Astyanax mexicanus: one gene and its partner. The main gene of each other region encodes a partner of the protein of the gene in region 2 in a complex. Links are inferred from orthologs where the notes say so. Each region holds a gene or a part of one and is shown on either strand. Other genes may lie near its edges.

Region 1 (7,331 bases), about 25 Mb from region 2:
TTTGACAAGCATTTGTGATCAGATCACCCACAATTCATGTTAATACCCAGTGTAGACAAGGCCATATGTGCATATATTACTGATATAACCCAAGTGCAAACTTTGAGGAAGGACAGTTTATGTTCCCAGGGTTTAGTGCACAATTTGGGACTAGGCTACTGTACTCATAATTTAAGAGTTTCTCGTACCTGAAACACGTACTCCAGACTCGTGTGGTCTTCCTGCAGGATGTGAGGCGAGTCCCTGAGGATGTCAGTCACCTGCTGAACTGTAAACTGGCACTTTTCTCTAAGGAGCCGAGACACAGCGTTTACTTTCTTTATGGGCAGAGACAGGATCTGAGGGTAGTGGCTTATCACCCTCTGCAGACTGCCTGATGACAGAGACCAGAGTTTACTAGCAGCTTTTGCAACGGAAAATGAGGCCGACCCACTCCAAACATTACACTTAATGTTGCCATTTACTTTCACTAATAAAAGTGTTTAATTACCACAACTGCAGAAAGAAAAGCTGGCTTATTGGCAAACAAAGTATAACAGGTTCTATAATTACAGACTGTAATCCTTCCTTTTTATGCACAATTTATTATCCTCCTCTCCCTTCTCTCAGTCCCCCCAGAACCACCACACGGTAGCTAATATTATTTGTATCGTGGGTGATTTATTCTCAGCACTGCAGTGACTGTACTGACATAGTGGTGGTGTATGAGGTGTTAGTGTGTGCTGTGCTGGTACAAGTGGATCAGGTACAGCAGCAGTGCTGCTGGAGTTTTTAAACACTGTGTTTAATCACTCACTGTCCTCCACTCTATTACACACTCGTACCTACAGCTGAAACACCTGTAGATAAAGTGAAGTCAAAGACAGAAGCACTGAATCTGTTGCTGCACAGTTTGTGTTGGTCATCCTCTAGTCTTGCCTTCATCAATAACCACAGGACACTGCCCACAGGACACTGCTGGCCAAAAATTTGTAGCTGGTGACCTATTTTCTGACCAGCAGTGAGCACTGAGGTGTTTATAAATTCCAGCAGCATTGGTGTATTTGATCCACTTTTTCCAGCACAATCCTATTTCCTTTTTGTACCCCTACCCCTTGTTTTTTGAGTTTAGCCCTTCCCCTTAGATAAGAATTAACTACAAGGGAAAATATTGAAATCCTTTTCTTAAGAATTGGGAAAAACTCTTCAAGCATCTGATACAGATGTTAAGCAGTGCAGTGCAACCTAACTGTTTAGGTTGCTGTTTAGGAAATTACTCAAACTTGTGAGATTCCTTGGTTGCTTGTGCCGCCATCTTGCCAGTCAGTGGTAGTGTCACTGCAGTGCAGAGAATGACCCACCTCCCAAATAATCCCTGCTCTGTGGTGGTCCTGGAAGGTCCTGACCATTGAAGAACAGAGTGAAAGAAATAGAAGGACTACACTCTGTAATTAAAGAAAACGGGAAATAAAGGGAAAAAAAGCCAGCTTACCTTCAAGCAGGCCGAGTTTCCTCAGATTTGCTATACGCTGCTGTAACTGAGACTCTTTCACCACATACAGGTCAGGACACTTCTCCAGGACCTTCAGCATGCTGTCGGGGTTAAAGCCGAGGACGAACAGACTTGTCAGTATCGGCACCTGGTGTTTGCATCGTTTCTTCTTTGCAACTTCATACACTACTTCAGCCTGGGTCTCAGAGAAACCCATTTCAGCCAAAGCCCTCATCGTTAACTCTGGTTCAGGATGCTGTACTTTAGGAGGTGGCGGAGCAGAACAGAACAGTCTGGGGATGCCCACTAAAGCTGCCTGCTGTTTAACAGGAAACAGCAGAGGACTGCAGAGAGAAACGCTCCTCCAAGTCCAGCGTAGGACCTGCCACAAAAGATCAAAATGCAGATGGGACAGGACATTTAGGATATCCCAAAAACACCTTCTATTATTTTTCCCCAAAATTGAATTATTAAATGAATTTTAAATATTACTAGTGATTACATTCATTTGTATTTAGAATTATTCGTATATTTAATATAAAATATATAATAATAACTGATGTATACTTTAGACATAATTCATCATCAATTACAGGATGCCCACATATTATTGACTGTGTTATAAAATCAGTGCCCCAAATTATACATTTTCTGTAGAGTATGTTATTTCAATAATTAACAAAAACAAAACAACGTTCAAATAAAAAATATGTGACCTGCACTCAGTGATATCTCTTCCTCTGGAGGGAAGTTTGTATATTTTTTTGATTATCATGTTGAGAATACACAAACAGTATATTAATTATTGGTCAAATCTGTTATGATATTTTGTAAATGTCACATTCAATTAATTAATATGTTTTTAACTAACTGAATAAAGAGGTGTGTTCAAATGTTTGAGTTGTCCTGTTTTTGAAATGCACATTGCTACTAGTCATAACTAATCAGAGATATGTTGAATTACCATTTGCAGTAGTCAAAATTGACCTATTAATATATGGACATAAACCTTTTTCTAGCCAGAATTACAGAAGGATATGTAGCTAATGATGTGAATACGACTAGTATTGCAGGGGTCATTTTAGGGTATTTTACAGCGACTTTCTATTTAATAAATGTTTTTTACAGTGTAAATATCTGTTATATCTACAGTTTTAAGTGGAACGAAGAATTAAAGCAGTAATGGAATAGCCTCAAAACACAAGCACACACACACACACACTCAGTCAGACAGACACACACTCAGTCACTCACACAGACAGACAGACAGGCAAACACACACACATACACACACACACACACACACAGTGCCTGCTGTTCATCTGCCCCACTCCTCAGCTAACCGAGCTAATGGCTAAGCAAAACCAGCCACCCAATAATACACGCTTTTAACACTTATAATGTCTAAATAAAGCAGTGTTTTAGTCACAGCAGTAATAACCTCTTCACACTCTAATTAAAACATTATTAAACTGTGTAAAAGTCTCTTACTAACCCCACAAGCCTGAGCGCTCATGTTTATCCGGAGTCAAAAACATTCCCCTAAAACATCAACCCTGATAAAGTGGTTCCACCACAGAAGCTCATTTCCCCCACGCAAAAACAACTGCGGTCAAGCCAGCCCCCACTGCAAAACGCTTGGTCAAACTAGCCCCCACGCTGTTTCTCAGAGCGCGCATACACTAAACATTGCGGCAAGCGTGAGAAGGAACACATTTCAAAATAAAAGCCCCCCCCCCCCCCCTTAATATCATTATGCTGTGGAGTGGTATTAAAAGGAATCCACATGATTTCACATGTTATGTCTGATATCACATGTCAATTTCATGTAGTCCTGGTAGTACACAAAATAAAAGCCCTGTAAATTATAAAAAAATATGTTATTTTAATAATACTACTACTACTAATAATACTAATACTAATAATAATACTAATAATAATACTTATATGTGTCACTCACTTAATAACAGGGCATTATAATGTGTCATTTCAAAATAAAGGCCCTTTAAATTATTACAATATTTTATTTTAACACAATGTTTAGACTGTTATTAAAAGGAATCTGTCTGACGTCACAGGTCAATTTCATATAGTCCTGATAGTACACCACGTGTATTTGTCACTCACTTAATATCAGAACATTTTGATGTGTCATTTCAAAATAAGGGCCACTTAAATTGTAACATTTATGTAATTTTACACAATGTTTAGACTGTTATTAAAAGAAATCTGTCTGATATCACAGCTCAATTTTATATAGCCCTGATAGTACACTACTTGTATGTGTCACTCACTTAATATCAGAACATTTTGATGTGTCATTTTAAAATAAAAGCCCTTTAAATTGTAACAATATTTTGTTTCAACACAATGTTTAGACTGTTATTAAAAAAAATCTGTCTGATATCACAGTTCAATTTCATATATTCCTGATAGTACACTACTTGTATGTTTCACTCAATTAATATCAGAACATTTTGATGTGTCATTTTAAAATAAAAGCCCTTTAAATTGTAACATTTATGTAATTTTACACAATGTTTAGACTGTTATTAAAAAAAATCTGTCTGATATCACAGTTCAATTTCAGATAGTCCTGATAGTACACTACTTGTATGTTTCACTCACTTAATATCAGAACATTTTGATGTGTCATTTTAAAATAAAAGCCCTTTAAATTGTAACATTTATGTAATTTTACACAATGTTTAGACTGTTATTAAAAAAAATCTGTCTGATATCACAGTTCAATTTCAGATAGTCCTGATAGTACACTACTTGTATGTGTCACTCACTTAATATCAGAACATTTTGATGTGTCATTTCAAAATAAAGACCCTTTAAATTTCAAAAATATTTTATTTCAACACAATGTTTAGACTGTTATTAAAAAAAATCTGTCTGATATCACAGTTCAATTTCAGATAGTCCTGATAGTACACTACTTGTATGTGTCACTCACTTAATATCAGAACATTTTGATGTGTCATTTCAAAATAAAGACCCTTTAAATTTCAAAAATATTTTATTTCAACACAATGTTTAGACTGTTATTAAAAAAAATCTGTCTGATATCACAGTTCAATTTCAGATAGTACTGATAGTACACTACTTGTATGTGTCACTCACTTAAAATCAGAACATTTTGATGTGTCATTTTAAAATAAAAGCCCTTTAAATTGTAACATTTATGTAATTTTACACAATGTTTAGACTGTTATTAAAAAAAATCTGTCTGATATCACAGTTCAATTTCAGATAGTACTGATAGTACACTACTTGTATGTGTCACTCACTTAAAATCAGAACATTTTGATGTGTCATTTTAAAATAAAAGCCCTTTAAATTGTAACATTTATGTAATTTTACACAATGTTTAGACTGTTATTAAAAAAAATCTGTCTGATATCACAGTTCAATTTCAGATAGTACTGATAGTACACTACTTGTATGTGTCACTCACTTAAAATCAGAACATTTTGATGTGTCATTTTAAAATAAAAGCCCTTTAAATTGTAACAATATTTTGTTTCAACACAATGTTTAGACTGTTATTAAAAAAAATCTGTCTGATATCACAGTTCAATTTCAGATAGTCCTGATAGTACACTACTTGTATGTGTCACTCACTTAATATCAGAACATTTTGATGTGTCATTTCAAAATAAAGACCCTTTAAATTTCAAAAATATTTTATTTCAACACAATGTTTAGACTGTTATTAAAAAAAATCTGTCTGATATCACAGTTCAATTTCAGATAGTACTGATAGTACACTACTTGTATGTGTCACTCACTTAAAATCAGAACATTTTGATGTGTCATTTTAAAATAAAAGCCCTTTAAATTGTAACATTTATGTAATTTTACACAATGTTTAGACTGTTATTAAAAAAAATCTGTCTGATATCACAGTTCAATTTCAGATAGTACTGATAGTACACTACTTGTATGTGTCACTCACTTAAAATCAGAACATTTTGATGTGTCATTTTAAAATAAAAGCCCTTTAAATTGTAACATTTATGTAATTTTACACAATGTTTAGACTGTTATTAAAAAAAATCTGTCTGATATCACAGTTCAATTTCAGATAGTACTGATAGTACACTACTTGTATGTGTCACTCACTTAAAATCAGAACATTTTGATGTGTCATTTTAAAATAAAAGCCCTTTAAATTGTAACAATATTTTGTTTCAACACAATGTTTAGACTGTTATTAAAAAAAATCTGTCTGATATCACAGTTCAATTTCATATAGTCCTGATAGTACACTACTTGTATGTGTCACTCACTTAAAATCAGAACATTTTGATGTGTCATTTCAAAATAAAGGCCCTTTAAATTATAACATTTATGTAATTTTACACAATGTTTAGACTGTTATTAAAAAAAATCTGTCTGATATCACAGGTCAATTTCATATAGTCCTGATAGTACACCACTGGTATGTTTCACTGACTTAATATTAGAACATTTTGGTGTGTCATTTCAAAATAAAGGCCCTTTAAATTGTAACATTTATGTAATTTTACACAATGTTTAGACTGTTATTAAAAAAAATCTGTCTGATATCACAGTTCAATTTCAGATAGTCCTGATAGTACACTACTTGTATGTGTCACTCACTTAATATCAGAACATTTTGATGTGTCATTTCAAAATAAAGACCCTTTAAATTTCAAAAATATTTTATTTCAACACAATGTTTAGACTGTTATTAAAAAAAATCTGTCTGATATCACAGTTCAATTTCATATAGTCCTGATAGTACACTACTTGTATGTGTCACTCACTTAAAATCAGAACATTTTGATGTGTCATTTCAAAATAAAGGCCCTTTAAATTATAACATTTATGTAATTTTACACAATGTTTAGACTGTTATTAAAAAAAATCTGTCTGATATCACAGTTCAATTTCAGATAGTCCTGATAGTACACTACTTGTATGTGTCACTCACTTAATATCAGAACATTTTGATGTGTCATTTCAAAATAAAGACCCTTTAAATTTCAAAAATATTTTATTTCAACACAATGTTTAGACTGTTATTAAAAGAAATCTGTCTGATATCACAGCTCAATTTTATATAGCCCTGATAGTACACTACTTGTATGTGTCACTCACTTAATATCAGAACATTTTGGTGTGTCATTTCAAAATAAAGGCCCTTTAAATTGTAACATTTATGTAATTTTACACAATGTTTAGACTGTTATTAAAAAAAATCTGTCTGATATCACAGTTCAATTTCAGATAGTACTGATAGTACACTACTTGTATGTGTCACTCACTTAAAATCAGAACATTTTGATGTGTCATTTTAAAATAAAAGCCCTTTAAATTGTAACATTTATGTAATTTTACACAATGTTTAGACTGCTATTAAGATAAATCTGTCTGATATCACATTTCAATGTCATATACTACTGATAGTACACCACTTGTATGTGTAACAGTCTAAACATTGTGTATAATTACATAAATGTTACAATTTAAAGGGCTTTTATTTTAAAATGACACATCAAAATGTTCTGATATTAAGTGAGTGAAACATACAAGTAGTGTACTATCAGTACTATCTGAAATTGAACTGTGATATCAGACAGATTTTTTTTAATAACAGTCTAAACATTGTGTTGAAATAAAATATTTTTGAAATTTAAAGGGTCTTTATTTTGAAATGACACATCAAAATGTTCTGATATTAAGTGAGTGACACATACAAGTAGTGTACTATCAGGACTATCTGAAATTGAACTGTGATATCAGACAGATTTTTTTTAATAACAGTCTAAACATTGTGTAAAATTACATAAATGTTATAATTTAAAGGGCCTTTATTTTGAAATGA
Region 2 (7,638 bases):
CTTTACTTTAACTGATGCTCTCAAACACTTTATTAAGAGACAAGAAATTCAAGTAGTTAACTCTTGATGAGTTCAGCACAGCTGTTAACTGAAAGCCTGAATTCCAGGTGACTCTACCTCATAAAACTGACTGCAATTTCTGTTATTTGATTATTTAGGAGTATTTTATCCTCTTTAGCAGGGGTGTCCAAACTACGGCCCGCGGCCGGTTTCCTTTTTTGGAGCGGCCCGCGAGGTATTTTAGAAATAGAATGAAAGTTGGCCCGCTGTTAAGCAGGTTTTATAATCTGAGATTCAAAGTTTGAACGCTAGGTGTCAGAAACGGGCCAAAGAGTCTAAAAGCGGAGAGAGTGCGCATTTCTAGCGCAGAAAAACAGGCCAAAGAGTCTAAAAGCGGAGAGGGTGTGCATTTCTGGCGCAGAAAAACGGGCCAAAGAGTCTAAAAGTGGAGAGGGTGCGCATTTCTAGTGCAGAAAAACAGGCCAAAGAGTCTAAAAGCGGAGAGGGTGCGCATTTCTAGCGCAAAAAACGGGCCAAAGAGTCTAAAAGCGGAGAGGGTGCGCATTTCTAGCGCAGAAAAACGGGCCAAAGAGTCTAAAAGTGGAGAGGGTGCGCATTTCTAGTGCAGAAAAACAGGCCAAAGAGTCTAAAAGCGGAGAGGGTGCGCATTTCTAGCGCAAAAAACGGGACAAAGAGTCTAAAAGCGGAGAGAGTGCGCATTTCTAGTGCAGAAAAACAGGCCAAAGAGTCTAAAAGCGGAGAGAGTGCGTATTTCTAGCGCAGAAAAACGGGGTAAAAGAGTCTAAACGCGGAGAGAGTGCGCTAGAAATGCGCACTCTCTCCGCGTTTAGACTCTTTTACCCCGTTTTTTTGTTTACACAACACTGTCAAATATAAAGATAGTAAGTCAAGTAAAATGGTGTGTAAATGAAATAATCAGGAAAATGTATTATTTAAAGTGGTATATTTCATTATTTGTTTTATTACAGAGTCTGTGGCCCGTGACTTCAAATATATTTCTCCTTCTGGCCCCCAACAAAAAAAGTTTGGACACCCCTGATCATCAGTAACACAGGTGCTGTGAAGTATTGTAGAGAACTGTATTTTGAAATAAAGAGTATCGCAAAATCACAGTATCATTGTTATGAAGGGAAATGTCTTGTTATATTAATGTATTACTACATCAGACTCTGTGTGTGTGTGGGTGTGTCTGTGTGTGTGTGTGAGTGAGTGTGTGTGAGTGTGTGTACGTACGCAGTGATCTCGAGCGTGTAGGAAGTCGAAGAGCTCCTCAGTGCAGTCCTCGGTGGTCTCGGACCTCGAGCCGACCCGAGCTTCACACGCCTCCAGCCTCTGCCTGGCGTGAACACAGTGCTCTGTCTGCTCACACTTCTCCCGGATGCTCTCTAACGGGTCCTGTACAAAAACAGTGAATAAAATAAACAAAAGTCAGTGTTTAGGATAAGTGTTGCTTACAGTCAGTGGCCAATTTATCAGAAACCAGGGCCATCAATAGAGGTTTATTAAAAGTTCAAATTTAAAATGCACAACTGTTTGATTGTTGGACTGTTTGTTTCATAGCAGCATCCCAGCTAAAACACTATACAAATTTTTACCTGCCCCGCCCCTAAACCCATACATCACCCAGTGCTCCTCTCAAATGACCTCTCCCATTATTTTTTTTTAGAGTGAAATCAGCTCAAATCAGGGAGTTTAGTGCCTCTTTAAGGCAGTGCTTGATAAAAATGATATTGAATTTTAATAAATATTGACACTTTGGGCACAATTTGTATATTTTCACTGTGAGCTGTACTCACTAGTTTTGCAGATATTTAGACATTAATTGCTGTGTGTTAAATTATTTTCAGAAGATTATGTCCAGGTTTCATTGCTGTAGTGTTGTCTCATGAAAAGATTATTATTATACATTAATAATTCTAATTATTTGCAGAAATGTGAGGGGTTTAATACTGTAGATCATTAGATATAAAAACTAATGTCATATATATATATTTTTTTTTTTTTAAATTTTTTTTTTAGTTTCACTTCTTTTTAATTCCACACAATTTAATATTAATCAATTAAAGCCCAGTACATTAAGGTCAGTCTCACTCGTCTTTATAATATTCTTAGCATTTATATAGTACATTTAATACATGTAATTCATCTTTTGTACCACATTATTTCTCTTGAACTACTTATTTATTTGATTATTTGTTCATTTGCCAGATAAGACAAATAACAACTAACTCACCACCAGGTCTTCTTCTTCCTCTTCTTCTTCTTCCTCCTCTTCTTCAGCTGGAGATTCCTCCTCCTTTTAAAGTGAAACAAAATCAATAAATTGCTCATTTATGAGGTTTTAATGTTATGGCTGAGTTCTCCAAGTTTTCTTCCATGTGGGTCAGCCCAACAAACAACTGTAGACTGTAACTAGAGCAGGGGTAATGGACTTATACTGTGTGTATGGAGGAGCTGCTGGATAAACCAGCTATTAGGTAATATCTTTCTCACTATATTAAAGCCTTTGTATGTAAAATTAAATGTACAACTTTTTACAGCTTTTAACGTAGAACACAGACTTTTGCAGGCTTGTTGGACCTATACCTGATTAGGTTGCTTTTGTGCTTTTAGGATCAATATATTGTACATTTTTCGTACAGTCGATGTGTTAAGGCTTTTCATTCAAGTGTCCACAAATTTTTGCCAATATAATTCAAACAGCTCTACAGGTCACAGTTATTTAGCTAGAACCACAGAATTCTGTATACTGATAGAACTCCAGACGTTTTAGAGGTTACTGTGTGTTTATAGAGGAGCTGCTGGATAAACCAGCTACTGGGTAACATTAATAGCTTTCTCACCATATTAAAGCCTTTGTATGCAAACTTTTTAGACTTTAGCATTTAACCAAAAGTTAACAGTTTTAATTTTTCAAATGAACTTAAGGTTCGTTCACAAACCTTTTTTCTTTTCTAGTATTATTATTATTATTATTATTAAAAAAACAATAATATAAAAAATAATATCTCTAAACTCTATCAACAGGCTAAATATCAGCATAACTCTAATAGAAATCGATTTAAAGTCTAACATGTTGAGGCATTTCAAGTAATTGTACTTATATAACACATTAAAACAACAAATAAACTCATTTTTAAACACGTGTTCAAAAGTTTATACTCTTTTCCCGAAGCTCGTTTTCGAACGGTCCGTTCCACCTTAAATGCTGCAGCAGTTACAGTCTGGCGTTTAAGGTGGAACGGACAATTCGAACACGAAGCCAACTCCAGCTTCAAAATTAAAGTCTAAATTCCATAAAATAAAAGCTTAAAATCAAACCTCGTCATCGGGATCTCCATAAGTGATCATTTTCCTTTCAAACCCCATGATTTAATTCACTTTATAAGCTCTAAACTTTCTGTAGTAGCTTTCTAAAGGTCACACACACTAAAAACACGCACTAGAAAGTTCGCAGGAAGCAGATTACAGATGGATTTACTTGGATAAAAGTCCTTTTTCAAATTCTTAAAAAAAAAAAAAAAAAAAAAAAAAAATATATATATATATATATATATATATATATATATATATATATATATATATATATATATATATTAAAATGTATATTTAGCGTAAAATTAAAAATGCAAAAAAAAAAAACAAGAGCAAAAATCTGTCTTAATTTTTATTTGCTTAGTCTGTAAAGGATATTTTTTTTATTTTTATATATATTTTGGTTGATTTTTTCCAAATACTCTTGTGTGAACTATTAAACTGTTTGTATTACTGATATAAATTAAATAAAAAGAGAGTGTATAAAAAAGTTTAACATTTCGACATTATTTGAGTTAGAAATTCAGGAAAGTTTAAACAAAAAAAAAATATATATATAAAAAAAGGAGAAAAAATATAGTATATTTTATATTTTTAAATAAATATTTAACCTAAAATATTTTATTTACCTAAAGATAAAAAAAATAAAAAAGTGTTTAATCTCTTTTTCAAACTAAAAAAGGTTATTTATTTCTTTCTTTATTTATTTCCCTGAGATTTACCTGGACATTTCAAATATAAAAAATATATAAGTTACTTTTTAGAATTATTTTACTTCTTCTTATCTGTGTCTTTTTCTAGTTATTACGATGAATGTGTGAATGTGCTGTGTGTAAGTGTGTAAATGCAGTAACTCTTTAAATTTATTTCCAATTGTTCACTTTATTTTTATTGCTGCTTATCCGCTGTAAACTGTTAACCAATGACCTGTTTGCTAAACATCCCCCTTTAATTTTTTTATAATTTATGATGAATTTATTTTTTTTACAATGTACTTTTACAATATACTACCTTTTTAACAATATTAAAATTGTAGTATAATTAATTCGTAAAAAATATTACTCAAGTAAACAACATAAGTATTATGTTGTTAGAGTTTAATATAACTAAGCTATTAAAAGCTAAAATTTACAAATATATTTGTTTTATTTTTCCTCTAGTCTAAAAAACGTGTTTTTTTTATTTAACGCAGAGAGGAACTAATAGTGCGGGTATTTGTGCGGAGGGGACGGGTGTTAGTGTTACACCTGATGTAAAGATGGCAGTGAGCGTTAGCCCGAGGTTTCTGTTTAAGAGAATAAAACACTCCGTGTGTTTCATTCAGCGCCGTAACCGCGTCAAAACTAAATGGGTAAGTGTTAGGTTTTAACGCGGTGCAGATATTTACTGTAAAATGTGAGTGTAGTATTACTATAAAGCCAAACACTCCAGTTAGCTTAGCTTAGCTAAGGCTGCATGGGCTGTGCTCCAAATATCAGCTGCTCCGTATCTAGTGCACTAGGTAAAGAAGGGGGCGAAATGAAGTTGATTTTGATGTGTAGAATACAAAACAGCCTCTTTACTTTATAGTAAAGGACAACAGTAACCAGATATTAAGTAGTTCTGTAAAATTAAATGGGCCAGCTTATACATTCTTCTATACATTCTATACAAAAAAAAAAAAAAATGAAAAAAGATCTTATATTTTGTTATACTTTTAGATGAATATTTAACTTAACATGTTATTTACCTAGGGATAAAAAAATCAAGGTTTTAATTTTTTATTATGTTTTGTAATTCGTAAAGGTTATTTACATGTTAATATGTATTTTTTATTTCTGATTATTCCAGTGTGAACTATTGAACTATATGTATTATCTATCTATCTATCTATCTATCTATCTATCTATCTATCTATCTATCTATCTATCTATCTATCTGTCTATCTATCTATCTGTCTATCTATCTATCTAATTATTATTTGACTTATTTTACTTGTTCTGCATTGTAGATTAAATACTAAACTCATTCAAACTATGAAAACGAAACATATGGAATTATTTAATTAAACAAATAGAACGTGTGAAAAATATCAGAATAAATTTTATATATTTTAGATTATGCAAAAACGAACACCTCTTGCTTAAATCGAGAAAGTTTTGCACATCTCTGCTGGATTTTCTCAGTCAGTTTTATGAGGTAGAGTCACCTGGAATTCTGGCTTTCAGTTAACAGCTGTGCTGAACTCATCAAGAGTTAATTACTTGAATTTCTTGTCTCTTAATAAAGTGTTTGAGAGCATCAGTTAAAGTAAAGTAGTGAAGAGGTAGAGTTGGCCTGTCCCAATAATTACATTATCGATTTATTTGATATTGTGATATCGTCTATTGGGTTTATTTGTATGTTTGTGTGCATATATAACAATCAAGAATATTTTAGCCAGCAATAATACACACAGTGTGGACTGCAGTAAGTGAGAAAAAATGGTTATTTCCAAAACTATGATTATTGAAATTATGTTTTCTTAAAAAGGGTATACATTTTGTTTGTTATAATTATTTTGTTATTATTATATCAGTGACATTCAATGGTCTTAAAACGACAATAATATCGATTATCGCAATAATTTCTGGGACAATATATCGCCCAGAGAAAATTCCTTTCGTGACAGCCTTGGTAGAGTTACAGGTATACAGAAAAGAAGAATTTCAAAAACTTTGAAAGTATCCTTAAGTGCTATTACAAAAAAAGACCATCAAAAATATTATAATGGTGAAACTGGCACTTATCAGGACAAGTTCATCAGAGTTACCAGCCTCAGAAATCGCAAGTTAGCAGCTTAACCCCAAATAAGAGCACCTAAATGCTTCTTCACAGAGTATTTTGGTTTGTTTAAAACTTTTAAGGAAAATTTGTATCTTATTATTAAATTTTATTGATTTATGGATTGATTGATTGATATTCCTCCAGGCCGGCACCAGACCTAAAGTAGCCTCCTCTGACCTCGCCCTGCATCACTTTGATATGACGTACAGTCTGCAGCTGGGTGATCTGTGGCCGTCGGTTCGGGTCGGGATGCTGTCGGAGAAAAAGTATGGAGCTTTAGTGAACAGTTTCTCCTGTGATTCAGACGTTATCTCAGCGCTACAGACTCAGGGCTGCAGAGACTTCATCAGCACAGCGCTTACAGAGCATCTCTCTACTGATCCAGAGCTCCACAACCCCACTGCTGCTCCAATCACCTCACATATCCAGTGCTTCACCTTCCCCAGAGGAGACATCTCTCGATTCAGACCTGCACGGTAAGAATTCTCAGCTTTATAGACGTTTTTTAGCTTTAAATCAGATTTAAAGCAGATTACACTGAGCAAGAATCGATATTTTTTCAATTTATAATGTCCCAATTTAATTCATTTTTCATTTATATGCATTTAGTATTATTTCAGGTATATTTACAGGGTCTTTAATTCAGAAAGTAATAGAATCCCTTTATTTCTGATGTAGACTGAAAACTTTTAGATTTAACATTTAAAAGATAAATATGAGACAAAATATCAACATTTCAGCTTTTATTTCCCAGTATTTTACATTTTTTAAGTAAATTAAAGCGAATACAACTTCAAAAGAACAATCAGTCATCAATATATATATATATATATATTAAGAGATCCCTTTAGTTTCTGAATCAGTTTCTCTGATTTTGCTATTTGTAGGTTTATTTTTGAGTAAAATGAAAATTGTTTTATTCTATAAACTACAGACAACATTTCTCCCAAATTCCAAATAAGAAATATCATCATTTAGAGCATTTATTTACAGAAAATGAGAAATGGCTGAAATAACAAAAAAAAAGATGCAGAGCTTTCAGACCTCAAATAATGCAAAGAAAACAAGTTCATATTCATAAAGTTTAAAGAGTTCAGAAATAATCAATATTTGGTGGAATAACCCTGGTGGTTTTTAATCACATTTTTCATGCATCTTGGCATCATGTTCTCCTCCACCAGTCTTACACACTGCTTTTGGATAACTTTATGCTGCTTTACTCCTGGTGCAGAAATTCAAGCAGTTCAGTTTGGTGGTTTGATAGCGTGTGATCATCCATCTTCCTCTTGATTATATTCCAGAGGTTTTCAATTTGGTACTGTTTGCGTACTGTCGTGTTCTATGCCTGGCAACCCTGAGTGTGGAAATGGGACTGGGGGGAATGGATGTGGGAAGATCCCACACATATTTTCATGATTCTCTTCGGCACCGCCCCAAAAAAAGGAAGAACAAGAGTTCACTCTGTTGCACAGAACAGAAAAAATAAAATAAATGAAA

What was found.
Region 1: the proteins of nsun4 (region 2) and mterf4 are in contact, whole or in part, in a crystal structure (PDB 4FP9), measured with the Homo sapiens proteins. The link is inferred for Astyanax mexicanus from reciprocal best matches to the Homo sapiens genes NSUN4 and MTERF4. Residues at the interface, in NP_950245.2 of Homo sapiens: Pro61, Ser62, Arg64, Val65, Leu68, Ser69, Glu70, Arg136, Gly137, Asp138, Ile139, Arg141, Asn367, Leu368, Met369; in NP_872307.2 of Homo sapiens: Tyr267, Glu269, Arg270, Leu271, Gly272, Arg273, Glu311, Glu312, Val315, Phe316, Lys318, Leu319, Arg322, Glu323, Glu326.

Annotation. Positions count from the first base shown.
Region 1 is NC_064411.1:30,156,079-30,163,409, reverse strand, and holds the start of mterf4 (transcription termination factor 4, mitochondrial), read right to left. Parts: upstream 3,072-7,331; 5' UTR 2,988-3,071; coding exon 2,967-2,987; intron 1,854-2,966; coding exon 1,472-1,853; intron 374-1,471; coding exon 189-373; intron 1-188. UniProt on the Homo sapiens protein: Regulator of mitochondrial ribosome biogenesis and translation. Binds to mitochondrial ribosomal RNAs 16S, 12S and 7S and targets NSUN4 RNA methyltransferase to the mitochondrial large ribosomal subunit (39S).
Region 2 is NC_064411.1:55,593,798-55,601,435, reverse strand, and holds the start of nsun4 (5-methylcytosine rRNA methyltransferase NSUN4), read left to right. Parts: upstream 1-4,572; 5' UTR 4,573-4,594; coding exon 4,595-4,687; intron 4,688-6,285; coding exon 6,286-6,617; intron 6,618-7,638. Other genes in the region: cytochrome b-c1 complex subunit 6, mitochondrial, read right to left, coding at 1,255-1,416, 2,255-2,317, 3,343-3,390. UniProt on the Homo sapiens protein: Mitochondrial RNA cytosine C(5)-methyltransferase that methylates cytosine to 5-methylcytosine (m5C) in various RNAs, such as rRNAs, mRNAs and some long non-coding RNAs (lncRNAs).